Astyanax mexicanus: one gene and its partner. The protein of the gene in region 1 interacts with the protein of each later gene in a biochemical or structural test. Links are inferred from orthologs where the notes say so. Each region holds a gene or a part of one and is shown on either strand. Other genes may lie near its edges.

Evidence for each region.
Region 2: the proteins of runx1 (region 1) and elf2b form a complex in vitro, tested with the Homo sapiens proteins (2 studies listed by BioGRID and IntAct). The link is inferred for Astyanax mexicanus from reciprocal best matches to the Homo sapiens genes RUNX1 and ELF2.

The regions. Positions count from the first base shown.
Region 1 is NC_064428.1:5,712,386-5,722,642, forward strand, and holds the start of runx1 (runt-related transcription factor 1), read left to right. Parts: upstream 1-5,253; 5' UTR 5,254-5,607; coding exon 5,608-5,704; intron 5,705-5,878; coding exon 5,879-6,046; intron 6,047-10,257.
Region 2 is NC_064432.1:4,450,980-4,461,983, forward strand, and holds the start of elf2b (ETS-related transcription factor Elf-2b), read left to right. Parts: upstream 1-6,742; 5' UTR 6,743-7,044; intron 7,045-8,238; 5' UTR 8,239-8,254; coding exon 8,255-8,329; intron 8,330-9,043; coding exon 9,044-9,215; intron 9,216-11,004. Other genes in the region: mgarpb (protein MGARP), read left to right, coding at 406-663, 3,291-3,812, 4,983-5,020. UniProt on the Homo sapiens protein: Isoform 1 transcriptionally activates the LYN and BLK promoters and acts synergistically with RUNX1 to transactivate the BLK promoter. Isoform 2 may function in repression of RUNX1-mediated transactivation.

The DNA.
Region 1 (10,257 bases):
GGAAAAAATATGGTTTAGAATTTAGTGGCTCTTTAATATAAGCTCTTGGGGTAGCAGCAGTATGTGGACAAGCATTGTCCTGTTGGAATAGTGCACCTGAGCATATGTTTGTGCTGGACCTCACTCCATCACAGTCTGACACAACTACTCACCAAGTTTCAGTTCTGTCTAGTAATTCTTTCTGTGTGTAACATGTATTTATTTGATAAAAAGTCTATTACTGGTATGTAAAAGTTTAGTTTTTTCGTTAAGGAAGGAATTCCATCTATATTTAGTCTTCTTTCAGTGTTCATGAAGAAAGCTACGCTAGCAATGCTCTCTAAAGGACGGGAAAATGGAACTCCAGAAGCACAGCACCTCGCTGTGTCGTGGGAACCCAGCGGGACGTGTATTCTTTTATACAGCTGTGCGTCCCAGATATCAAACAGCAGCCCAGCAGATGGACCCTGCGCTGTTCCATTCTAGCAGAAGCTTTTATAGGTGGGACTGAGACGGTTCTTCTACTTTCAGACTAAGCAGCACAATGATTTAAACAATCCAGACTGCTGGTGAATAAACAGCTTTTATTAAAGTAAAACTTGTTTTTACTGTGTTGTAATATGACACACACAGTAGCACTAGCCCTATAGACAGATGCACTGCGGGCTGGATGACCCCCTGACCCTGTCTGACCCTAAAACCCGAATCTCCCCGGAAACTGGAGGTTAAAGGAAGCTGCAGCTGCATGATGTCAGCATTGTTTCTTTAGAAGCTACTCTATATATCTTCACGATGATCTCAAACTTCTGCTTTATCTCATCTCACATACAGTGACATATGCTGCCTCTAAGCCATGTCAGAAATATTGCATAGTTATTATCAGAATACTGTGCCCTCAAACCTATTCTTTTAAAACTTAACATTAATTAATATGTATATTTTTAATGACTAAACTAATTATGAAGTGAGAGTAGAGATTAAGAAATTATTAAAAATTGCAAAATGTTCAATAATATCTCAATTCATACAATTTCAACAGTATTTACAACATTCTAAAGCATTACAATTTATTACACAGCAAAAAAAATTTAATCTTAGTGAAGTGAAGATCTAAGTGAAATGATCCAATTTTAAGGAAATAAATCTGTAATTTAATGTTTAATAATGATGAGTTTCAACCGTTCCACAGTTATCATATTTTTCGGACTATAAGGCACACTTAAAATCCTTTAATTTTCCTAAAAATGGACAGTGTGCCTTAATTTATGTACATTGCACTAACACTAGCTCGGACTGTAGTCTTTGTGTTTACCATGTTAAAACAAGCTCTGTATAAAGCTGATAATACTCTGGGTTACCGAAACACATTTACAGCATTTACGTCCCACTAGCACTGTGGTTAGCAGCTAATGCTAATGCTGCTGCACCCAGCCTTAGTGCTGGAGAACCTTCACTGAAAATTCAGTAATACACTCTTGCACAAAATACTGGAAATGTAAGATTACTGTCAATATACTGAAGCCCTTTACTCACCCAAATAAACAGTTTTCAGCAGAGAAATCTGTCTAGATTAACATCCAGCACTCATATGTTTTTAAAATACAGTTTTGTTTACTTAGCCTTTTTTTTTTCTCTAGCTTCTCCATTAAAAGAGAAACATGGCGAAACCTGTACTCACTTCGATGTAGGCATCCTTACTAGTGTCACTTAATGCAGCCTATAATCTGGTGCGCCTTATGTATGAAAATAAACCAGAAAATAGACACTTATTAAAATTGTGCCTTATAGTCTAAAATATATGGTAACTTGAATAATTAGTTGCGATATTGCTTAAACATTCATTAAAATGTTTATTACTGTTTAAAGCACTTTTATTCATGTAGCGTTATTGTAAAATTCCTTTGCCAGAACAGAATTTTACAATACAGAAATCTAAACAGTTTTATATTTCCACTTGCATGCATGTGATGAAAATGTGGTTGACCTTTAATTCCATGTTTTAATTTTTCATTATTTTAATTACCATGATATTAGACCATATCAGGGTGGACAATCTTTACCTTCGCTAAAAATTGAGACAAAATTTTAAGTGTCATTAATATTTTTAATTGCTGAATATCGTCGCTGTCCTATAAAAAACACTTATCTCCTTTTCTGTCGATTTTTAGATTACTACATAATTTGAACAGACAAACTCTCTCACACTGTGCCAAATTTATTGATGAACAGATCAAAAGAAACTTTTCAAAATGACCTGAAATAAACTAATTCTACATTGACTTCCATTAAAAGTTCACAAGGTTTTTTTCTCTCCTGTAAAGTTGCTGTTTTGGAGATAAGTGTTTTTCATTGGACAGCGACGATATTCAGTAAGTGTCTTCAGTCCTTTAGAAATAAAAGAGTGTGAAGGTTGTGATGTCACCAACATCAAAGATTGCTTTCTTAAAGATGCAGATATCCCAAGATTCCTGGGTGGACAGTAAAGACCATTAAAGTGCATTACAGTTTAAATGAATCAAAAGGAAGATACGGTATATACAGTATCAGGCAAAAGTTTGGACACACTTTGTCATTAAGTTTTTATCTTTATTTCTTTATTTAATGTATTTTCTACATTGTAGATTAATATTGAAAAACATGTAAATAGTTAAGGGACACATATGGAATTATGTAGTAAACAGTAAAAAATTGATTTGAGGTGATTTAATTGGGATGAGCTGGAGCTTCACAGCAAAGTGAAGGAAAAGCAGCAGCTATTGGTCAGCACCTCCAGAAACTCCTACCTTCAAGACGTTGAGAAAACTATTCCAGGTGACTCTCCCTCATGAAGACACTGAGATTAAAATCTCACCAAGAGTGTGCAGATCTGAACTCAAAGATAAATGTAAATTTAAAGTATAAAACATATTCTGGGTTGTTTAACACTTTTTGTTCACAGAATAATTCCATGTTTCTGTATAGCTTTAATATGTTGAATTTACAATGTAAAAATAATATATATGTTATATTTATGATATTTTTACATTGTAAATTCAATATTTGGATATACTGTATAATACTGTATAATAATTCCCCTTAATTTCACAGGGAAAATTACATTGGCTGGTGAAATGACAAACTCTTAAATGAAACAGATATGATATATACTACGATGCTAATGACATTACAGGTGTAACATATATATATTTTCAGTGCTAATTTTTATTCATTACATATTTTTTACTGACAATTTGCACCATTTGTTCACCTATTTAGTTTAGAGTAAAACATAAAAGTGCCATTATCATATAAATCAAATGTACAATTAAGGGCAAAACACACAGATCCACTTTCCCTCTACAAACGTCAGTATTTTGCCCCCGGAGTGTGTCTGCGTCTGAGTCTGAAATCTGAGTCCAGTGTGGGTGGGGTAGCAGCTGGCCATGCACGCCGATGCGAACCGCCACACTCCGCCCCACCATACTTGACCCCAACGCCTAAATTACTGTGTGTAAAAGTGAGCACAGGTGTGGGTGTGTTCGGCATGTGCTGGAGGTGTGGTGCAGGTGGAGGTGTTGCGAGTGTTCGTTACAGGGGGCGGGTAGGGGACAGGAGTGGACGCAGGTGTCGGAGGATGATATAATGGGCTTGGAGGCTTTTTGCAGGAGGCCCTCGTGGACGTGGTGTTCTTTGCACACGATTAGACCTAAACAATGGCTGGTTTTGCCTGATGATGGACAGTGCCCTGATGTGGGCAATACTCTGGCATGCATTACACACCACCTGTGGAACTGGCTTTAAATAATGTGGACTGAAATTATATAGAATAAACATCTTATAGGATTCAGTTTGTGTGCCAGATATGCAGCAAGTGAGGGCAACCTATATGCGTATATGACTAAAAAATAATTTAAATATCAGTATATAGTATTAATGATAGACAATTGGGTGTTTTATATACATATCTAATATTAATGAGAAATTGCATTACTTACATAAATTGTCAATTACTTTTAACAGTACAGAAATTAGTTGTGAGCAGGTTTGGCAGTTTAATAGCGACATCAAAATGACTGTATTTATGTATTGCCAAAATTAAGAAGTATAATGTTGGCGTATTTGGTGTATTTCTTAAAATTTGCATATTGTAACTACTATACCAAACCATGTCAGTTTAGAAACAGACCAATAAAAATCTTCAGAATGAATAGAAATCCACTCTTTTTTTATTACAATACATATAAACTGGATTAATATTGATGCATATTGCGACAAAAAATGGTAATATAATTTTTTTTAAATCTTTTTTATAATATTTTATTACATGATGCATTAATTAGATTAAAAAATATTGTGTGACATTTTGGCTATATGGTATGTATGTATGTATATATTTGATTTCACTAAATAAAAATGGATGATTACAAGCCATCAAACCAAACTGAACTGCTTGAATTTTTGCACCAGGAGTAAAGCAGCATAAAGTTATCCAAAAGCAGTGTGTAAGACTGGTGGAGGAGAACATGATGCCAAGATGCATGAAGAAAACTGATTAAAATCAGGGTTATTCCACCAAATATTGATTTCTGAACTCTTAAAACTTTATGAATATAAACTTATTTTCTTTGCATTATTTGAGATCTAAAAGCTCTGCATCTTTTTTTGTTATTTCAGCCATATATAAATATATATTTTTGCCTTTTGACTGAACACACATGCAATCCTCTTTGAACCGCGCTACTGTAAGTAAACACACTCTTTCTTTTCTCGTGCAAAATATGTAGATAAAGAGATATGAAAAGATGACATGTAAATTCTGACAAGCTGAGGTGGTCAGATGCTGCTACAGACACAGGGCTAATTGTGTGCTCTCCTGGAGAGAGATTTGCATGTTTAGACTCTGTTTGCGCTGTAGATTCTCTTCTTACACAAACAGTCATGTGCAGTTATTTTAGCTTCTCTTCTGAACTCGTCTGAACTGTACTGCTTTTTTCTGCTGTGTGCACCTGCTGTGCCCTGTTTTACACTATTACTATTGCATGAAAAAAGCAAAAAAACGAAAAAACACATCAGTTTCCTCCAAGAGAACGTAGAGGAGTGAGGGCTGCTGATAGAGCCTGTGCTGTGCCCGTATTACAAAGGGAAACCTCTAAACACAAAGTCAGAATGAAATTTGCACCACAGCGGACCATGTGACCGTGGCGGCCCAATGGAGCTTGAGCTGTTAGGGTTAGGTTGCTTTTTTTTATAGAAGGGAAGAGTTAAACTTGTCACTTGGCTTGGGAGCCGCTATTCTGTGGGCCACCACAACCACAAACCAAAACTGCCACCAGTCACGGCTCCCTGAGCCCTGGAGAAAAGTGAGATAAAGATAGAGCGGGGGGACCAGACCGGACCGTACGATTAAAAACGAAAGAGAGAAGAAACTGAGAGAAGAGAGTGCTGAGTCTACGTGTTGATGTCAGATGTCAGTGTGAATCACCCGGATTACTAAAAAAAAAAAAAAAAAAACGAGAGCGAGAGAAGAGAGAGAGAGAGAGAGAGACAGAAACCACAGCGCGACATTTCTACTCCTTCTCTTTAGCACAAGGGTAAGCATCAGTCGACCGCAGTCTGACCGCCGATCACTATCTGCAGTGTCTCTCAACCATGCACAACACGCAAGGACACAACAACTGCCCTGATGCCACGACCGGACCATCACTGGATGACCATGGACTTGAGGGTGTTGAGGGTGTGGGCGTTGGTGTGTAACCCAGGGATTTTGTTCTGTAGACTTTCAGTTTATTTAGGGAGCACTGTGTAGTGGAGGTTGTCCATTGGTTCTAAAGTCTATAGACTTTTTTTTTACTGATCGTTTCTTAGACCATGCACACCTTCTTACACAAACTCACCATGCCTGTACCATTGGTCTTTCCAGGGCAAAGCAGCAGCACAGACTCAAACTTCAAAATTAGGAGCCAAGTCAAGTTGGAGGCGCTGGACTCCAGTGAAGAGGAGGACAGCGTTTTTGAGAAGCAGCCACTCGCCATGGCCTCGAACAGCATCTTCGAGACCTTCTCCTCCTATCAGTCTTGCTTCACCAGAGGTAAGTCATGTTACGTTTAATTTATATTTAGATTATATGTTGATACATTGCTCAGAATTTCAGAGACACACATTTGTGAAACAAGAAGTTGACGGCTTAAGTTCTTATCTTATCTTCTTAGCCTGACTGCAATCTAACAAACTAATAAGCATGATGGAAAGTAGAGGCAAAACATCCAAAACGTCACACTGGTTGGTTTGCTGTGTCAGTGGTGTACTGAAATCTCGTGGCTGAATCTGAAAACCACAGGTCTGTGGGTTACTGAGTGTTCCACTGGTTAACCTCACTCCACCAAGCAATAACACAGCGGGCTTTTACGAATGTACTGCAATGCCCTTTGTTCTCTGCAATGCTCCTGTGTAAAAAAAGAATAACATATTTGCGTTAGATAAAGTTTTCCTGTTTGTATATGTAAATATATATATATATTTTTATATAAGGATGTTATGGACAATGTTAATAATGTTCATTAAAGTGTGTTGCTTTGAGTAACTTTCACAAAAATAAAATATATATACATTTTTTTAGAAGAAAATGTTCGTTGAACATCTTTCTTGACAATTTCACAAAACACCTTTAAGTGGACCCTCCACAGTTTTGACCACTAAATAATAGAAGTTTGCCTGTTTTAAGACTTTTGACTTTAGTTTAGTTTAGTTGCTGGGTGTGAGAGGGAGGTTAAGGCTCATCACTGCAGCACAGCATTCTTTGCCTGTGTGTCAGACACCTGGGATGGACAACAGACTCAGTTTCTGCTCTTCACTCCCATGGAGAGACAGGGAGCTGGTGTTTTATAGATTTTATGATATTGAGATTGAGGTGGGGGGACAGATGAACTCATAAACACACCCAGAAATTAGAACCTGAAGGAGAATTGCACTGAGGAGTAATGGTGCATATTTAGCAAGCGATGATCTTAAATTGACCGCAACATTTTTTTTCCTTTCTATATCTTCTGCATTTACAGTAGCTGACATACCATACAGATAATCACATTTGTTTCCTGTAATTCACTGATGTTATTATATACTGGTATTAGTATAAATATAAGGCTAACATATTATTTTTACTACGCTAATTAGGTGCATAAGAATGATCAATATTCCATGGTATTGCAATATTTTCTTTTGCACTACTGTATCAATTTTAAAAACACAGTATAGATTTTTGTACAATAATTAGTAGTTCATATTGTTAGATTGGTTTTAGACAGTTGTTTAGTTTGTGCTAAACTCTGACTTGGTCATTAGATCATGCAATTGAGATTTGATAAAAAGTTAAATTATTTTTTACACATATATTATAAATGCATGTATCTTTTTATACTATAGCAGTTTTTTTACATACACTGTCCTAATGTTAATACTGCACATATAAGTCAAGTCAAGTCAATTCAAGTAGTTTTATTGTCAATACTGCATATGTACAGGACATACAGAGAATTGAAATTACATTACCCTCCTCCACAATTTTTACAGCAGGTACAGAATATATATATAATAAAAGAAGGAATGGGAGACACCCATGTATGTGTACAATACAGCAGGGACACAAATAGACATACATGAGACAGAAACAAGGTGCAGTAGTGGTGGGGGGTGAAATAAGATATATAAATATAAATAAAAAGAAATAATACATATAATATAAAAGAATATGAGACACTATATGTACAATACAACAAGAACACAATAGACATACGTAAGACGGAGGACAATAGTTTAATATTGATGGAGATTGAGATGGAATGACAGTATAAATAGAACCCGTATAACAGTAGTGCAAATATGGTATATAGCTTAAGGCTGGTAAAGTGAATGAGTGCGTAATTACTCATTTTGTTGGACAATATATCGCCCCAGAAATAATTGCAATACATCATAGTACTTGTCATTTAAAGCCACTAACATATTGGCAATATACTAGAATAATAATATTGCAATAACACATTTTTAAAAGCAATAAATGTTTAGTTATTTATTTCTTTCCCTAATAAAGACTGTTCTGTGTGTATGGATGTGCTGTTTTTGATGCACTGGTCATTGCACAACCTGCTAAAATACCTAAGATTTTAATTTGTATGCAAGCAAACATGCAATTAAACATAATTAATGTCAGCAAGAAGGTGAACAATGAAGGTCATGATGATTTATTGTACATTTTTGTACAGTATTGTAGGTTTCAGGTCAACTGTAAATGTTTTGTATTTTCATGAAGTCAAAATGTATGTCCAGTTATTACCTAGAACTCAATTGGGCACTTTGACTATTGTAGTATTTCCATAATTTGCCTTTTTTATTATTATTTAAGCTTATTATTTAAGTTTCTTTAGGTAGTTTTTGATGACACACATATTGATATTGATATTTTTACATGATGATGCACAAAAGCTTGAGATTTTCAATAGTGCAGTTTGTTTATTGGAGACAATACTTACACTCCTTCTTAAAAGTTTGTCTAGCAGCTTAAAAGCTTGCATTTTCAAAAACATAAAATACATCAAAGTACTACATGATGATGGTATGTCTGTTAAATTATGTATCATCGATGATGAGCATGGTTTTGTCATGTCTGCTTTGCTATATGTCTTCCTTTTCCTTTGATGATCCTATAATCTAGTGTTGGTGTGAATGCTCACTGCACGGCTGGGTTAAAAACAGAGGCCCAAATCCATCAGCAGCCAGCACAAGAGTATTGTATATCATTGCTGTCCAATCAAAAACAAATGTATTCAAAACAAACAAGCAACTTTACAGGAGAGATAAAAAAAACCTTCTAAACTTTCAATGGACGTCAATATAAAAAAGTTCATTTTTAGAACATTTTGAAGTGTTTCTATTGGTCTGTTCATTAATACATTTGGCACAGTGTAAAGGACAAGTTTGTCTGTTCAAATTATGTTATAAACAAAAATATGGGTAATTAAGGTCTATGAATTACCTTAAATTTACTATAAATTTGCTGTAGGTATTACATTTTCAGATGGTGCATATAATGCTTTTGGGAAAACACAGTGGCCCGTCGTAAACATCTAATCCAAGGAGAGAGCTAAGATTTGCAGAGAGCTAGCTAACATACTAACTTTAGCAGAGAGCTAGCGAACATACTAACTTTAGCTAGCTTAAACGAGCTAGCTAACATTACCAGGCATAGAACTAAGGTTAGCAGAGAGCTAGTTAACAATAACGGCTAGCTAACTAACATACTAACTTTATCAGCGAGCTAGCTAACATACCAACTTTAGAGCAAGAGAGCAAGCTAATATACAAACTTTAGCTAGCTTAAACGAGCTAGCTAACATTACCAGGCATAGACCTAAGGTTAGCGGAAAGCTAGCTAACGTTAGCGGCGAGTTAGCTAACATATTTACTGTACATACTAACTTTAGCGGTGAGCTAGCTAACATACTAACTTTAGCAGAGAGCTGGCTAACATACTAACTTTAGCTAGATAAAGCGGACTAGCTAATATTACCAGGGATAGAACTAAGGTTAGTGGAAATTTTGCTAACATACTAACTTTAGCAGCAAGCTAACCAAAATTAGCAGCAAGCTAGCTAACATACTAACTTAAGTAGTTAGCTAGCTAACATACTAACTTTAGGGGAAAGCTAGCTAACATACTAATTATAGCAATGAGCTAGCTAACATAATAACTTAAGCAGTGAGCTAGCTAACATACTAACTTTAGCGATGAGCTAGCTAACATAATAACTTAAGCAGCGAGCTAGCTAACATACTAACTTTAGCGATGAGCTAGCTAACATAATAACTTAAGCAGTGAGCTAGCTAACCTACTAACTTTAGCAATGAGCTAGCTAACATAATAACTTAAGCAGTGAGCTAGCTAACATACTAATTTTAGCGATGAGCTAGCTAACATAATAACTTAAGCAGTGAGCTAGCTAACATAATAACTTAAGCAGCGAGCTAGCTAACCTACTAACTTTAGCGATGAGCTAGCTAACATAATAACTTAAGCAGCGAGCTAGCTAACATACTAACTTTAGCGATGAGCTAGCTAACATAATAACTTAAGCAGTGAGCTAGCTAACCTACTAACTTTAGCAATGAGCTAGCTAACATAATAACTTAAGCAGCGAGCTAGCTAACATACTAATTTTAGCAATGAGCTAGCTAACATAATAACTTAAGCAGCGAGCTAGCTAACATACTAATTTTAGCAATGAGCTAGCTAACATAATAACTTTA
Region 2 (11,004 bases), on another chromosome or scaffold:
CAAAGCAGAGGAGCTCACCTGTTGCCCTTTAATGCTAAAGCTCTGACTGCTAATTGCAAACCTGTGTGACAGGTGTTTGCCCATGTGACGAGTCAAATAACTTAGATTTTGTGTGAACAACAGTTTCTTCATGAAAATTGTGCCAAATGCAGAAGATTGTGTTTAGTGTTTTGAATAAGTGTGTTTTAGAACTGCATTTAAATGGGAAGCAGAAATTGTGCTTGCAGTCTAGCAGAATTAGTTTAGAGGGTTGGTGCATGAGTTACATGTGGTAGTCATTGTGCCTCAAGTGCCAGTAAGGTCAGGAAGAAGTTAAGAGGCTAAGATGTCCTTCACTCTAGTTCTTCTATTCCTCTCTATGACCAGCAATTTATAAATTAAACATTTCCTTTTAACTCCTTTCAGCTCCAGCAGATGAGCCAGCTTCCATTGCTGAGGTGATGACAGTAAACGCAGTGTCTGAGGCTGTGGAAAGCGTGGAATCTGCAACTGAAGCAGCGTCAGAGGCTTCCGACCCGGGGCCTAACCTCCCAGCGGATGTTTCCGCAACAGAAGAGCCAGCTGCTCAGACAGTGGTTGCAATAGCAACAGAACCGCCCCCTGAAGTCAAAGAGGCTGCTGAAGATCTGGTTAGCGTGGCCATGGAAGCAGCCGAGGCAACGGGTGAGCCGCCTGCTGTAGAAGAAGCCCCAGCTCCCTAGACCACCTGACCCCTGCAATGATCATTTAGAGACCTGTGTACAGTAGCGGTGTTATGTCTGTAGAGGAGGAGGAGAAGGAGGAGAGTTATCACATCGCCCCCTGCTGTTTTGGTTCAAAATGTAGGCTAAAAGAGAAACGTTTTCAAAGGCAGACAGCAGAGGGCACAGTTCTACTCTTTCTCTACCAGTATGGTGGTATTTTGGTGTCCTTGGTTGTACTGGTCCTGCCTCTGAAGGTAAAAAGGCTGGGTGAAAAAAGAATAGGTGGAGCTAATCTGCTGTAGGCTGAATGAGGGCGGGTTAAAGTGCTTTAGGCTAAGTGGGTGGGGCTAAACTGCTGTAGACTGAATATGTGGGATTAACTCATGAAGCATGAGTGGATGGGGCTTTCCTTCTCTAGGCTGAATGAAGGGGCTTAATTTCTCTATGCTTAATGGGTGGGGCTAAACTGCTGTAGGCTGAATGGGAGGGGCTAAACTGCTGCTCTCTCTCTCTCTCTCTCTCTCTCTCTCTCTCTCCTCTAGTGTGTGAAATAGAGTAGTTCTACCCCAGTGCCTTACACACAACTTAATGTAAGATAAACTCATTCAGATTTGGGGTTTGGTGTGAAATTGTCTTTACAGTGGTTACAAATGGGTCCAGGCATTGTTTGCCATCACTAGACCAAAAATAAAACCATTTTATTTACTATACAAAAACCCAGCAGTCAACTTACATGTGTCTTCTGAGGTTTATACGTAGTAAAACAGTGTAAAATCTGACAAAATCCAGTTTTCTTTAGGGACTATTTTTGCCATACATCACCCTGCATATTGGATATGTATCCCTCCACCAGGTTTATGATACACAATCGTAAAAACATGTTTTATACCCAAAGTCTCAAGCTTTAGGCTTTTGGTTTAATAACTTTCCTGGAGGGAGCTTTCTTCTTGGAAGAATTCAGACTGGGTACGTTTATCTAGAAAGGGGTGTTTCACAGCAAACCACAGTGACTGATTCTGTTTACATCTTTTCTGAAGCATTCCAAAAAGAATTAGCCAATTATGGCCTTTTTTAACCAGTTGGGGGTCACTGCCATTTTTTTCTTAGCGTTATAAGTTTAGTTTGTCTTTTGTAAGTTCATTTTTACAGTCTCTGGTTCAAGTAGATCTGACACTCTTCTTAAGTTAAAAGCTTATTCTTGTTTAAATAAAGTTCATTTATCTATATCACCATTGCAGAGTTTTTCTGTACACACACACAGAGTGACTACACTACTACACTACTAAAGCCTATGTGTACAATATTACTTGCTGTTTGCTCACATCTAGTGGCAGAAGGTAGTACAACAGCAGTGCCGCCTCCACAGATCAGTTAAGCTGGGTTATTGGGCCTGGTTTTAGGGTTTGTACGTCGGTTTTCCAGACAGTGATTAAGTCTAATCCTAGACTAAATTTTCCTTTCTTTGAGAAAGCTCCATTTAAAATGATGTATATTCCAAGCTCAATCCCTGTCTGGGAAACCGACCCTATATGTAGGACAATATGTAGGACCTAGTAGACAAAATGTCAGCCAATCAGCACTCAGTATACAAAATGTCAGCCAGTCATCGTTCAGTAGACAAAATGTCAGCCAATCAAAACTCAGCAGTTAGAACAGTAGCCAATCAACACTTAGTAGTCAGTATCACTGGAATTCTGGAATTTATGACAACAGCCAATTGTCTAGTCTATCTAATAATCAGTAGATGGAACAAAAGAAGTAGCTAGAACACTAGTTGAGCATCACTCTGTAGCCAGACAATCATCACTTAGTAGTCAACATTTCAGCCAATCAACATCCAGTAACATCCAATCAACATCAGCAAAACAGCTCTTAGAAGACTAGAACTCAGCACTCAGTACCTAGAACACTAGTCAATCAGCCCTCAGTAGCCAGAGTGTCAGCCAATCAACAGTCTGTAGCCAGAATGCCAGAAAAACAACCAATCAATAATTAGTACTTAGAATGCCATCCATAGCAAATCAGCAGACAGAATGTCAGCCAGTCATCACTCAGTAGACAAAATGTCAGCCATTTAGCACTCAGTAGTCAGAACACTAGCCAATATACACACAGCAAACAGAAAAAGTCAATCAATGCTTAGTACTTAGAATGCCATCCAATCAGCTCTTAGTAGAGAGAATGCTTACATTCAGCATTTAGTAGCTAAAACACCAGCCATTCATTACTTAGTAGCCAAAACTCTACTCAATCAGAACTCAGTAGTAAAAGCTTTAGCAAATCAACACTTAACTGTCTAAATACTGGCCAATTAACACTTAGTAGTCAAAAGCTTCAGCAATTAGACACTAAGCACTAAGTAGTCAGAATGCCAACAAATTAACACTACAACAGCGACCAGAAAAAACGGCCAATCAACACTTAGCATCAAAATAACAGCCAATCAACAATAGTCACTACTTCACCGCCATGTTGCAAGCAAGGTTGGCTTCTCGTGAAAAATGTGTTCATGTGTCGCCCCCTGGTGGAAAAGGTATTTATCTCTTAAAAACAGAGACAAGACATGTTCATCACTTTAACTTCACTCCTGGCATGATATTCTTGCAGTGGCTCCGGTGTTGGAGGTTCTGGACGCTGTGAAGGTTCTTAGCAGTTCTGTGGCAGAGATGGCTGCTGCTTCAGTGGGGGACGAGAGCAGCTCAGCAGCACTAGCGCCCCCCATTGGGCGAGCAGAGGAGCGGAGGGTGGTTTTGGCCGAGGAAGTCAAGCTGGAGCAAGTTTACGAAGATTTTGCGACCTCCAACAAGGAGATACCGCACTGCTATCAGTGTTCTGACTCACACTCTGAACATGCTGAACTTGAAGCCTCTACAATGCCCCCTGCTGGTCTGGAGGACACTTCACATGTTGGACATGTGGAAAACGAATACTCTCCCATTGGTTTAGAGGGTGCTGAGGGTCCTGAAACCTCCCCATTCCATAATGCTGGTCTGGAGGACACCTTATATGGGGGAAACGTGGAACCTGAACAGTCCATAATGTACCCTGCTGGTCGGGAGGAGAACACAGCGCAGGATGATTGCCTGGAGGATTACACAGCAGCCTTGGAGTCTGTGGAGGAGACTGGAGGTGTGTTTTTTATTATATTTTAATATTTGATATTGATATTTCAGAGGGATTAACACAAACAGATGTTAAGATTTATCTATTTAACTATGTCGCAGCAGCACTAAATTCGTGCAACATGCATTTGTAACAATCAAGCTATTTAACCAGCTGTTCCAGAGGTGAACACCACATGGGCTCACCATATGTCTCTGGAATCTTAAAATGGGAATCTTAAAATTTACATTGGTGGTGGAAAAGTGGAGAGGAGTGATCTGATTGGTTCATAAAAGGCAACTGTAACTGAAAGGATAAAACGGGTTAGTAAAATTCACTCTATGGACAAAAGTATGTGGATAGACTTCATAGACTTAGCATCAGTAAGGCCAGGTAATGAAGGTGGATGACTAGTTCCGTCTCTTCAATGCTTCCCAAAAGTATTGGGTTGAGCACCATCATTCCAGAGAACACAGTTTCACTGCTCTACAGATCAACGGACCTCAATAGAGGAGGTTTTTAAAAATGTCTTAGCCGACACGTGCAGCATTTTAATAAAAGTAAACCCGTCCCCTTCCTTCTTCACTGATGTAGTAAAGCATGCATGCAACTTTTCCAGAATATCCACAGGTTGACACAAGACAAAAGGGATTCTCTAGACCAGGGGTAGGCCATAGGCCGCGACACACCCTGACGACACAGGTTCTATCCCGTTTGAGGAGCTGTGTTAATAATCTTTCCTTTTTTCTTGGGACTAGTAGTACCCAATTGCAGAACAGTTGGTCTTAAAGCAGGTAATGCTTTAAGACCAACTGTTCTGCATTTGGGTTCAACAACCCTCTGTGATGGAGAGCTACTAGTCTGTATCACTCCATCCCATTACACTTCATTTTCCAAAACATAATTTTGAAAAAGCCATTTTCATGTGGACAGAAATACAAAATGGAGATACAATAATAAAAAAAAAAAAAAAAAAAAAAAACGTTTTAAAAAAACTCGTGCACAATTTGTGTGGACAAGACTGTAGTTAGGAATCCTAAATCAGTAGGACTTACTCAGTAGAAGAGTTTTCAGACACTTGGTGTATAATCAAATCCAAATTGCTGCCTGATAAATATTAGTGGGTAGTGAGTCCCAGATCATTGTGTATAAATAATGTCTGTGTGTGTGTGTGTGTGTGTGTGTGTGTGTGTCTAGCTGAAGATGCAGATGAAAAGGACACAAGGGCGATGTGAAGAAAACTGACTTCTGGAACCTGGAGTCAAACAGTCAAGCTTGATACTATGTTACTTTGTTACTATGATACCCTGTTTCCATATTAGTATGTTACACTATATTAGTATATAGTTACTTTATTACCCACCCGGTTACCTTGTAACACTGTTAGCCTAAAACTGTTACCCTTAAACCTTGTAACTATGCTACCTTTTTTACATTGTTTCCATATTAGTATGCTATTCCATTACCCTGTTACCTTGTTACCCTGTTGATTCCCTGTTACCATAATTGAATGCTACTCTATATTTTTATGTTACTCTATTACCTATTCTGTTACATGGCCCGGCTCACTGATACCCTGATACCTTGTAACTATGTTACCTTGTTTCATTGTTAGCAGGTTGCCCTATTAACATATTAGTATGCTACTCCATTACTCTGTTACCTTGTTACGTTGCTATCTTATCATATTGTTACCCAGTTACTCTTCTGTTTTGTTGTTATGCTCTTACCTTGTTACCCTGATTCTTTGTGATTATGTTACCTTGTTGCATAGTTTTCATATTATCCCTGTTACCTTGTTAGATTGTTACCCTGTTGTTTCCCTGTTACTATAATTGTATGGTACTCTATTACCTATTCTGTTACCTTGTTACATGATCCTACTACATTTTCACCTTGTTATCTTGAACTATGTTACCTTGTTTCATTGTTATCACGTTGCTCCATTATCATATTAGTATGTTACTTCATTATCCTGTTACATTGTTATATTGTTACCTAGTTACTTGACCCTGCTTTGATTGTTATTTTCTTTCCATGTTACCCTGCTATCTTGTAACTGTTACCATGTTACATCTTACCTTGTTACATTGTCAGTCTTACTTAAATAAATCAGTATATGAAAAAAATACTGTTATACTGTTACCATGTTACTTTGTTACCATATTCATATGTTTTGTTTCCCATTTACCTTATTGCATCTCACCATGTTACAAAATTATTTAAAACATGAGTACATAATTTGTTTAAAAAAAACTATTCAGTGGACATATCTGCTGCGTTACAGTTTAGCATGAACATTTGATCCTTGTTGGAGTTTCAGTTTTAATTTATAAGTTCTCAAAGCTCTCTGACTCTGTAGACTCTGTGTTACAATGTGTTTAGTCGGAGAGTACATTAATAATAAACTGTTAGTTAATATGATGTGTTTGACTGTTTATTGAACCCCAGATATCTGAATAGCTGCTCTGGCATGGTGGTGGTGTGTTAGTAGTGTGTGTAGTGCTGGTACGAGTGAGCGGAATCAGATACAGCAGTGCTGCTGGAGTTTTTAAACACCTCAGTGTCATGGCTGACCTCAGAATTATCCATTAACTCAGTATCCTGTGTGCAGCATCCTGTAATCAGTGACACAGGACTAGAGAATGACGAACATAAACTGTGCAGAAAAAGATTCAGAGCTTAAAAAAATTAAAAGAAAAAATATATAATAATACTCCAGTATAGTACAGATACAGCATTTTAATAATTAAGTACAGTAGTTCAGTACTTTTACTTCGTTACTGTACCTTACATCTCAGGTCTTAGCCAGTGTATTTTTTTTTAATCACTTCGGTTTGGAACAAGACCGCAAAAATGGCCGCAGTAAACTTCTAAGCTCCCTTCTAAGTGCCCTAACTAGGGGACGTGTCTGCAATTCGGAGCTCGCCCTCATTCATTTCAAGCGCAGGGGTTGTGGCGCAGGCGCAGTCGCTCTCTGTGGAACGTCACCGGCGTGTGTGTATAATATATGTGAGTGTGTATTTGCGTTTAGTCGTAGAGGAGTTTTCTTATTACTCGTTAAATTAGATTAAGCCTCGGCGGCTCGTGTTTCAATTCGGCGGTGTGTCCCCTCACTCTGAGCCCTCCGCGCTGAGGGTCAGCGGGGGGTGAGTGAGCGGCGCGCGGGGTCGGAGCTCCAGGTCCAGATAAACACACTCCCAGAGAGAGAGACCCTGAGAGAGTGCAGCTGAAACTCACTCTGCAGAGCAGCACTGAGGTAAAGTGAGCGCTGTTCACACTCGCCACTCACCTGTTCACACTCCTGCACTCTTCACAGGGCTCTCCATCAGCGGGGAGAGGGCTGCTTTAGCTTAGCCTAGCCCTGGGGCTGCTCTCTGCTCAGCTGTGGGCTATTTAGCTTTAGCTGCAGTGCTAGCTAACAGGCTAATGCTCATAAAGTGACCAGCAGAAGCTGTAAACAGCAGATTTAATCCGGTTTCACATTAGGAGAGTTTACACTGCTTGCAGTTAACTGCTTGTTAACACTTTTTGGTTAATTGCATTTTATATACAGTGTAAACACTGTTCTTTCATAGCTAGTGTAATGCAGTTTAAACTGGTTTAATACATTAATGCACTTTACTATATAGTTTATTGCTCTAGGCTGAATAAATGGGTGGGGCTAAACTGCTCTAGGCTGAATAAATGGGTGGGGCTAAACTGCTCTAGGCTGAATAAATGGGTGGGGCTAAACTGCTGTAGACTGAATAAATGGGTGGAGCTAAACTGCTGTAGGTTGAAAAAATGGGTGGGGCTAAACTGCCGTAGGCTGAATAAATGAGTGGGGCTTAATGGCTGAAGGTAGAATGAGTAAACTTATCTGCTGTAGACTAAATAAATGGGTGGGGCTTAACTGCTTTAGGTGAATTAATGGGTGGGACTAAACTGCTCTAGGCTGAATGGGTGGGGCTAAACTGCTGTAGACTGAATAAATGGGTGGGTCTAAAATGCTGTAGGCTGAATAAATGGGTGGGGCTTAACTGCTTTAGGTGAATTAATGGGTGGGACTAAACTGCTGTAGGCTGAATGGGTGGGGCTAAACTGCTTTAGGTGAATTAATGGGTGGGACTAAACTGCTGTAGGCTGAATGGGTGGGGCTAAACTGCTGTAGACTGAATAAATGGGTGGGGCTAAACTGCTGTAGACTGAATAAATGGGTGGGGCTAAACTGCTGTAGACTGAATAAATGGGTGGGGCTAAAATGCTGTAGGCTGAATAAATGGGTGGGGCTTAACTGCTTTAGGTGAATTAATGGGTGGGACTAAACTGCTGTAGGCTGAATGGGTGGGGCTAAACTGCTGTAGGCTGATTGAATGGGTGGGCTAAACTGCTGTCTGGTGTAAACCTGAGAAGCCACTTACTGATTTTTTTCTCTCTTTCTCTTTTCTCTCTTTCTTTTTCTCTCTCTCAGAAGGTGGAGGTCGGTGATGACATCGGTGGTGTTGGTGGACAGTGGGGGACGGGTGGTGGAGTACATTACTGCAGTGGATGATATACAGCAGGTAAAGTTAATACACTTCTATCACTACATCTCCCCAAACCATCACTGATCGGTGGAAACTTCACACTAGACCTCAAGCAGTTTGGACTGTGTGTCTCTCCACTCTTCCTCCAGACTCTCCCTTAATTTTCGAAAGAAATGTAAAATTTACTGATGATCAGTGATGGTTTGTTTGGAGAGACATGTCATCTGCTGGTGTTGATCCACTGTGTTTTATTATCAAGTCTAAAGTCAGTGCAGTTTTGTTTTCCCACAAAATCTTACAGCACTTCATGCTTCCCTCTGCTGATGACTTTTATGGAGATGCAGATTTAATTTTCCAGCAGGATTTGGCACACTGCCCACACTGCCAAAAGTAAATAACCTGAAAATTTGTCATATTATCTTAGTGCCATATCGCACACCCATTCTCACCAATTGTGAACTGTGAAAGGTGTGTAATGTAAGATAAAGTTAGCTACTTTAATCTACCTTCTCTCTCCAATTCTTTCTTTGTCTTCATCCTGTATGACTAGTCAAATTAAAAGAGCTCTTTTGTAATTGTAAAAAGTATTGGTCTGGTACGTCTGCTTGAAATAAAAATGTTCAGTGTTCTCTTAATATTGTTAAATTGGAGTTTTTTCATTGCAAGACAAGACAAGACAAGACAAAAATCCGATTCTGTAACATTCCCCCTCTCAGACTTCTCTACTTCTTCTCTTTTCATGTGTTTCAGGTGGAGGGTGTGTGTGCGGTGGACGGTGTGTATGATGGTGTGTGTGATTACGCAGACGTGGTGGTGGAGCAGGTGGAGGAGTGTGTGGACGAGGTGTTGGTGTTTGATGATGCAGAGCTGATACAGGACGTGGCCGAGGAACAGGAAGTGGAGACTGAATCAGTGGAGACAGGTAACACACCTACACACACACACACACACACACACACACACACACACACACACCTACACACCTTCCCTCCCCAATCTTGACATGCTTTACTCAGGCTGAAGTATAGATACTGGGGTTTAAAAATACTTACGTAGAAGTTGAAGTATCAACTCAAGATTTTTACTCAAGTGAAAGTATAAAAGTACTTGTTGTTTCAGAACTAATTAAAGTATAAAAGTGAAAAAGTAATATGAGGGGACCCGCCCTCCCCAAAACACATTTTTCCAAAAGCCATAATTACTATAATCTTATATTAAAATGTTAATGTTAAAAAGTTTGAGATGCACTAGGCTCAAAGATTTAAAGAATAAATCAAATGTGTAATTGGTGAACTGAAACTTAATAAACTTATTAATGGCCAACCTTAGCCCAAATGTGTTCATTATCATAATGCCAGGCAAGAATGCCGTCTATCTGTAGCCATGGTGATTAAAAGCAAAGAAATGATTATTAAAGTGTCCATAAGAACCAGAGAATAAAAAAGGGCTGCTGTGCAACTCCCTCTGTTGATAACATTGTCTGTGAAGTAGCATAGTTTCCCGTAAACCAATAGTGCAAAAGTAGGCTGGATCAAAAAAAGCGCCAAGGTTTTGTAAGCCTGAACAGAACCACTTAAAGAGTTACACACTGATTAGCACAGACACTAGCAGACATTAGCAGAAACCCTCTCACTGAAATATTGTGAAGATGTATGGTTGGTATACAGTGAATAGCTCTATTAGAGTCCTTGTTCGAATCCATATTATGGCAAAAACTACTCAACTAAGTTACAAAAAAAACTTTACTTTAGAAAATGAAGGTCAGTCAATCTCAAATGAATATTTTTAGAACTTAGAAAGTATCCTTAAGTGCAGTCGCAAAGACCATCAAAAACTATATGATGAAACTCGCACTCATCAGGACTGCCTCTAGACAGGAAAAGCAAGCGTTACCTCTGTTGCATAGGATGCATTCCTCAGAGTTACCAGCCTCAGAATCCACAAGTGTACAGCATCGAAAAGTATTTTTTGGTTTGTTCAACAATTTTAAGTTACTACATGGTGAGCGTATGTGCAAAACCAAACACTTCCTGAGATTTTTATACTCTGCAAATAAGGTTTTAATTTAGAAAAGCCTAGAACCAAGCTGAGATGTTTCGTACAATAAAGTACAAAAAAAAGTTTGTTTCTATCCTATTTGTCAGGCATTCTTTATTCCAGCACCCCATGTTGGTTTTATCTCACCTTAAACACACAAGTATATACTAGTATTTTAATTGACACCACTAATACAAATATAATTGCATTTTACATTTTTTACATTCATTCTGTTATTTACATTTAAATATCCACTATAAAAACGTATAAAAAAAACATCTTAAAAAATACATTTAATTTAATTTAAACTTAAATCTAAACTTAAAAACGGTGAGTTTCTTTGATTTTTACCAAGTTGAAAAGCTCTAGTATATAATCGAGGAAGATGGATGATAACAAGCCATCAACCCAAGCTGAACTTAAATAAATTTATCCAAAAGCAATGTGTAAGACTGGTGGAAGAGAGCATGCCTAGATTCATGAAAACTGTGATTAAAAACCAGGGTTATTCCACCAAATATCGATTTCTGAACTCTTAAAACTTCATGAGCATGAACTTTTTTTTTTTTTGCATTATTTGAGGTCTGAAAGCTCTGCATCTTATTTTGTTAGTTTAGCCATTTCTCGTTTTCTGCAAATAAATGCTCTAAATGACTATTTTTTGGAATTTAGGA